2 linked regions of the Cricetulus griseus genome follow. The protein of the gene in region 1 interacts with the protein of each later gene in a pairwise test. Links are inferred from orthologs where the notes say so. Each region holds a gene or a part of one and is shown in the gene's direction. Other genes may lie near its edges.

The links.
Region 2: the proteins of Lgals8 (region 1) and Apeh interact in binary tests that used the Homo sapiens proteins (3 or more experiments, as listed by UniProt). The two-hybrid records come from large-scale screens. The link is inferred for Cricetulus griseus from reciprocal best matches to the Homo sapiens genes LGALS8 and APEH.

Annotation. Positions count from the first base shown.
Region 1 is NC_048596.1:236,452,531-236,455,874, reverse strand, and holds the end of Lgals8 (galectin-8), read left to right. Parts: intron 1-2,031; coding exon 2,032-2,181; 3' UTR 2,182-2,836; downstream 2,837-3,344.
Region 2 is NC_048597.1:216,278,462-216,282,281, reverse strand, and holds the end of Apeh (acylamino-acid-releasing enzyme), read left to right. Parts: intron 1-876; coding exon 877-965; intron 966-1,330; coding exon 1,331-1,469; intron 1,470-1,934; coding exon 1,935-2,018; intron 2,019-2,095; coding exon 2,096-2,176; intron 2,177-2,295; coding exon 2,296-2,384; intron 2,385-2,483; coding exon 2,484-2,674; intron 2,675-2,752; coding exon 2,753-2,855; intron 2,856-2,943; coding exon 2,944-3,050; intron 3,051-3,133; coding exon 3,134-3,239; 3' UTR 3,240-3,400; downstream 3,401-3,820. UniProt on the Homo sapiens protein: This enzyme catalyzes the hydrolysis of the N-terminal peptide bond of an N-acetylated peptide to generate an N-acetylated amino acid and a peptide with a free N-terminus. It preferentially cleaves off Ac-Ala, Ac-Met and Ac-Ser.

The DNA of each region.
Region 1 (3,344 bases):
AGCCTCCCATAGTGATAGACTGTGTCAAACTTGGGACTTTTCAGTATGCTTTCCTAAGGTTCTTGTAGATCTTCCCACTGTGCCATTCTTTTCAATTAAACAGGATCTTGCACTTCAAATTCACTTACTCTGAGTCTCTGTGTGTGCCATTTGTGTGTACAGGCCTGCTCTACCATTCAATGCTTTAGTCTTTGAGACAGGGTTTCTCACTGAGCCTGGAGCTAAGTTAGCAGCCAGCAAGCCCCGGTGATCCTGTAAGCACCCCCCCCCCACCCCCGATAGGTTACAGGTGCTTGGGTGGCCCAGCATTTTACTTGGGTCTTAGGATCCAACCTCAAGTCCTCACACTCGCTTGAACAGCAAGTGCACTTACCCACTGAGCCATCTCTCCAGCCCCACTCTTTTAAAAAAAATAGTCATGCTGGGCCTCACAGGCCAGCACACCGAGTCACTAAACTACCACCCCAGCTCTGTCTTAAAAATCTCATCCAATATTGGATTGCATTGATAAGCTGTTCAAATACAAAATAGCTTGTGACACTGGCTGTGTCACTGCATCAAGTGGAGCTCACCGAGCATCAACTTCACCATACTGGATGCTGTTAGGCCTGGCTACCTGCAGCTCTGAAGGCCTGAGTCCAGAGCAGACAGAATTTGAGTCAGAAAATTGTGTTTTCCCAGCTGTTCTGAGGTCACTGGGGTGGGGGGTGGTGGGGGGGGGGGGGGGGGGGGTTGGGGGTGGGGGGTGGTGTCTGCTGTTTCATTTCCTCTTCTAGGAGAATACTCTGCAGGTCACATGCCTTCTTCCTGTGCGCGTTTTGCTGCAGTGTTTCCACTTGTTGATTTTACATTTATTTGTTACAACAGGGGGAACTTGCTAGGATTGCATCCGGCTTCTTGCCCTACATCTCCACCCCTTTTCTGTTGAGCTATACAATAGGAGATTGAATTATGATCCGAGATTTCTTAAATATATGTCACCCAATATCCCTTCCAGCTAGTTGAACTTGGGATTTCCCCCATTCTTGGGGAGATAGCTCAAGTAGTAGGTAATTCCCCAGTTCCCTGTGTAGCACTACTTCGGTCTAGTCAGTTATGCTATGTGCTCATTTGTCCCTTGTCCTGACTTCCTATGGTAGCTTTTCCCATTGCTACCATCTAAAGAATAGAACCATAACAAGGGTCTTTGCAGATTTAAGTTTGATACTCTAGTCTTAGCTGTGCTGACTTCTAAAGGCTTCACTGTGGCAAGGAGCACAGTGCAGGGACACCAAACTGGCCTTTTCAGTGAGTGGCCACTTGGTACAGTCAGTGAGCCTACTGACCTTAAGAATGTGGCAGTGAAGCACAGGGTTAGGTGTTCAGGCAGTGTAACAGGATACTGGCTTTGGATGTTAGGTTTACTGTTAGGAAAACAATCTGAAGGGTGGGCAATAGGTATGCATCTGCCAAAATGCCAATAGCTGCAGAGCCTGGGAACATGACCCTGACAAGCTTTTTGGAAACAGGTAGAGAGGCCATTATGTTCTGATTGAGGACAGACTTAGGATTACTGAGTAATTGCTCTCCTTACCAAGTGTCCCAAGCTGTTGGAATGTCATCAGTTGACATGGCCAAGACCCTAGCATCGAGGCAGGATAGTTACACTCAGTTTCTCAGGGAATAGGTGGGGGGCAGTGATCAGCAGTTTTCTGTTAATTCCCAAATACCACATGGAGAGACACTTTACAGCCTTCTAAAAGCCAGGAGCAGAATGTGGTGGTGGTGGTGGGGATTGGGGGGGGGGGGCTCCTAAAGGAAGGATCTGGTGAGACATAGTGGGTGAAGGAGATGCCACATGGTACATTGGGGATTTGGGTTGCCTTGCCTGTGAAGTCACTCAGAAGGGGAGTCAATGGTAGAAGGCTGGGGAAACATCTCCAAGCTCAAAGCAAGCCAAATGGTTTTCCTTTTGACTGTCTGTTAGTATAAAAAAAGCATAAAATTTCAAACAAAGGGCAGCTACTGATGGTATATCTCCTTTCTTTTCAGATGATAATTTACTGTGATGTCCGAGAATTCAAGGTTGCAGTAAATGGTGTGCATAGCCTGGAGTACAAACACAGATTTAAAGAGCTAAGCAGTATTGACACATTATCTGTTGATGGTGATATCCGTTTGCTGGATGTAAGGAGCTGGTAGCTACCATGATTGTCAAAACCCTAAAATACAAAACGGCTTATGTGATACTGGCCATGTCAAATGCATCTGGCTTTCACCACATTGTTTATGTTGTTAAGTTGAGCTCATACAACATCAAGTTTTATCTGGTATTCTCAGGCCTGGCCATGCAGTGTGGCTACCTCTATGTTCAGAGGAACAAATCTGGGGCAATCCCAGCTTACTGCTGGTGAGGCTCTGCACATGGGGTCCCGTCTTGTAAAACCACACTCAACAAATGTTTAAGTGCCTATTCTAATATACCAGTTAATAGGGATAGAAGGCATATTTCTTGTGTATATTCTCTGAGCTGTGCATAGACACAGAGGTGCCCAGAACCAGTGTGGTCCCTGTTTTCTGGCACTCAGGCATCCATGATTTTACAGTAGGGTCTTTCTGCTGACATTGCATTAACCCCATTAGGGGGCATTTGTAGTTAAGGTCAGAAAAATATACTAATGGATGGAAAACATTACTTCCCCAGTAATCCTTTTCATAATCAGCATCCAATCATATCTTATAAGACTGTATAACACTTATTTAGTCGTCATTGCTTTAAGCTTTATAAAATAATTAATATGCTGAACATGGCAGAAAAATTGAGGCAAAAAAAAAAAAAAAAAAAAAAACTGAATTAGAACAAGTGTTCTGCTCCAAGCAGATTTCTGCTTATTGGCACTCAAGTCTGTGTGTGCCTGTGGCAAAGTGTGGTAGGGAATGGATAAATGCAGTTTGTTAAACCTTTTTGGGTAACTGACATCAAAATGAGACTCAGTGAATGTGAATTACACAGGAGGGTAATGTTGAGTTGGAGTGTAAACCAGTGCTTGCCCCTCTGGGTCTGAAGACATGTCTGTCTCCATCAGCAGTGAGGTCAGACACTGCTCTGTCTGCTAAGTAAACTTGCATCAGCAAATTCAACTGCCACACTCCCGTAACTTCTGTTGTTTGACTGGAGCTGGGAGAAGCCCCAGGTAAAGTCCGATTTTGTTACAGATATAGTACGGGGAGGGAGAAGAGCTAATTTCATCAGGTCATTTTATGACTAAACCACAGGACAGAATTCTGCCAGGGCTTGGGAGTAGGCACAGCCAATTTTCCCAGACAGATGTATACTTACGTGGGAAATAATACTGTCAGCATTT
Region 2 (3,820 bases), on another chromosome or scaffold:
CGCCCAAGCCTTGGAGAAACCATTGTTGGATTGATTCCCTAGCTTTCCCACACTTGAGCCTATTGTCTTCCCCTGGAACAGCCTTTGAGTTGTCCACCTGCCCTGTCTCTACGTACTCCTCCAGAGAGATGCTGTCTTAGTTAGGGTTTCCATTGCTGTGAACAGACACCATGACCATGGCAACTCATAATAAGAAAACATTTAATTGGAGCTGACTTACAGTTTCAGAGGTTTAGTCCATTATTGTCCTGGTGGGAAGCAAGGCAGCACTCAGGCAGACATGGTGCCAGAGAACGAGCCCAGAGTTCTACATCTGGACTGGCAGGCAGCAGGAAGAGAAACATTGGGCCTGGCTTGAGCTTCTGAAACCTGAAAGCCCACCCCCAGTGACACACTTCCTCCAACAAGGCCACACCTCTTAATAGTGCTACTCCGTGTAAACCTATGGGGACCATTTTCATTCAAAGCTCCATAGATGCCAGAGTTTTGTTCTAATTCTGTATCTCTGGGTTGGGACATAGCTCATTGCTAGCGTGTTTGTCTACCATACATAAGGCTTAATGCACATAAGTAAATAAGTGAATAAATAAACCTTAGACCCCACTGTCCAGTCCCCTTTCCCTGACCCTGTTTTTTGGGCTAGGCTGCCATCCTTTTTACACTGGTCATTGGAGTAAGTAGAGTATCTTGGTAGATTTCTGTGTCCCCAGGCCTGGCAGTTCCTGAGCACAAGCCAGTGTCTGTCAGATAAACAAGGGACTGAACCAGGAGGCTTACCCAGGGCTATACAGTTAGGTGTTCTTAAGGGGTGCCTCTGAGGGTTGAAGGTACAAAAGTGGTGACCCCCCACCAAACACTACCATCTGCTTCCTCTAGGGGGTTCAGGTGGAAGCTGGAAGTTGCTTACAATTGATCAAGACCTTATGGTGGCCCAGTTCTCCACACCCAACCTGCCCCCGAGCCTGGTGAGTATTGGTGAGTTCCAGGCTAGAAGGCAGGAGTTACAAGCTTCCAGGCCAACAGCTGGCCATGGCTGGTCAACATGTAGAAGGGCGGAGACTTGGATCCACCCTAGTCCTATGGTTTACCATGGCTGACACTTGTAAGTAGGGACTAGCATTTGTGCTGTCCTGAACAACGTGCCAAGTCCTACAGTATTAGAGTACAGGGAGACAGAAGAACCCAGAAGCCAAGAAATGTGGTAGTGGTAGGCAGTGGTTCATATGTGGATGTATATTGTCATATACCACTCATAAGAATCTATGCTGTGCCCTTTAGAGATGAGTTCCTGAGCACTGGCCACCTGTGACACTTTGCTTCCCCTTGGCAGAAAGTTGGGTTCCTGCCTCCTGCTGGGAAGGAACAGTCCGTGTCGTGGGTGTCCCTGGAGGAGGCTGAACCCATTCCTGACATCCTCTGGGGCGTCCGTGTGCTGCATCCACCTCCAGACCAAGAGAATGTGCAATATGGTGAGCTGGGCCGACAGCACACGGAGGCCTTCTCCAGGTCCCCAGCACACAGCGTGTGTGATGACCCTTCCAAGCTCACATTTCAGGCTTTCTAGGATTTCCTCAAAAATTTTTTCTGTTCTTATGGTCATGGGGAGTAGCATCCAGAAATCCGAGTACCTGCTGTGGTTATCAGCACCAGGCCCTGCCAGGGCATGTCCTCTGTGGTGAGAAAACTAAGGCCCAGAGAAAATAGGCCACACACAGGCTTATGTGACTATATCAGAATGTGCTCTTTTCAGACATTAGGCTCTCTGACTAGGCAAAAAGAGCACAAGCCTTCGGGGTCCATGTGTCATGGTGTGAGCTACCATGGCCAGGCCTGTTTGTCTTGATCAGACTCACGCCATAGCTACAGATGGGGCCTTGGCTGGGAGCACTTGTGAAGGAGCACTGGTCTTGCTGATTACTGCCTTCTCCCTACAGCTGACCTTGACTTTGAAGCAATCCTTCTACAGCCCAGCAACCCTCCAGATAAGACCCAGGTGCCCATGGTAGTCATGCCCCACGGTAGGTGTCTACCTAAGAGTGCTTGCTTTCCTATGAAGCTGCTAGCTGGCCTGTTCACCCTCTTCTTCCTGTCACAGGGGGACCCCATTCATCCTTTGTCACTGCCTGGATGCTGTTCCCAGCCATGCTTTGCAAGATGGGCTTTGCAGTGTTGCTAGGTAAGAAAGGGTAGCAACTTCATAGCTCTTGACTAGGTCCCCTGACAGCCTGCGATGCTGCTGGTCCTAGGAACTGAGGTCCAGAGGGCTGAGAATACTATCTTGTCTCCTCCTTTTAGTGAACTATCGTGGCTCCACTGGCTTTGGCCAAGACAACATCCTTTCTCTCCCAGGCAATGTGGGCCAGCAGGATGTGAAGGATGTCCAGGTAGCAGGGTGCTGGACAGTGTCCTGGACAGGGAGGTGGGTTCGAGGCTCTGTTCAGCTGACAGGAAGCTAGCTGCAGCACACTCTTCTTACCCTTTAGTTTGCAGTGGAGCAGGTACTCCAGGAGGAAGGCTTTGATGCACACCGTGTGGCCCTGATGGGTGGTTCCCATGGAGGGTTCCTCTCCTGCCACCTGATTGGTCAGTACCCAGAGACATACAGTGCCTGTATAGCTCGGAACCCTGTAATCAATATTGCTTCCATGATGGGCTCCACTGACATCCCTGATTGGTGAGTGTGCATCACAGGTCCTTTGTCTTTCCTTCTACCCCAAATTCCCATGGAAAGCATCATCTTGGTCTTTTATAGGTGTGTGGTGGAGGCTGGCTTCCGTTATAGCAATGACTGCCTGCCAGACCTGAATTTGTGGGAGGAGATGCTAGATAAATCACCCATCAAGTATATCCCTCAGGTACCCAGGTATCCTTGTGTGTATGCTACCCATCCATCCAGAATCCAGAGCTCAGCTCACCACAGCAACTTGCTCCCCATACACCTAGGTGAAGACACCTGTGTTACTGATGCTGGGCCAGGAGGACCGGCGTGTACCATTCAGGCAGGGTATGGAGTATTACCGTGCCCTCAAGGCCCGGAATGTGCCTGTTCGGTGAGTGTCAGAGGATAGTCCTGGTAGCTGTGGCAGGTAAGCAGGACAAGAACCACCAACCTCATGTGTTGCTGCTCACACAGGCTCCTGCTCTATCCCAAAAGCACCCACGCACTATCAGAGGTGGAGGTGGAGTCAGACAGCTTCATGAATACTGTGCTTTGGCTGCGCACACACTTGGGCAGCTGAAGCCCTAACATTCTGCGTGAACTGGTCAGTCTGTCTTGCACTTTGCTCTTGGTAAGCGCCAGGATCTGGCAGAATAGCCTAGAGACTTCCTGGGCTCTGGACTCTGGATGAGTGGGCAGAGGGACATGGACTATGCACTCATAATAAATGAGGACACAGAGCCTGGTTTGTGCTGGTACTTTGTACCAAGCCATCCTCAACCCCAGACCCCATCCTGGAGTTCAGAAACCCTTGGCCTTGGGTTTGATATTCACAGTGGATTCATCTCTGTCATCTGACAGAGAGGAGCCATGAGCAACTCTACCCCAACTGTCCTGGCCGACTGGGACTGGTGCAGACCAACATAGCTCTTTCTGCTCTAGCCCATCTGTTGGAGAATGTTCTGCATTATCCTTGCATTCCCAGAAGTGCCCCTGGAAGATGATTGACACCTTACCCATCCACAGTACATACATTTTGAAGTTGTTCCAGGATCAGAACACCTGGCCAAGTGTGTACTGGTCTTAAAGCACCACGCCTCCTGTAAGGAGTCACCACCTCAGTCCCTAGAAGCAGAGACTAAGAAGCACTTTGTATAGAAA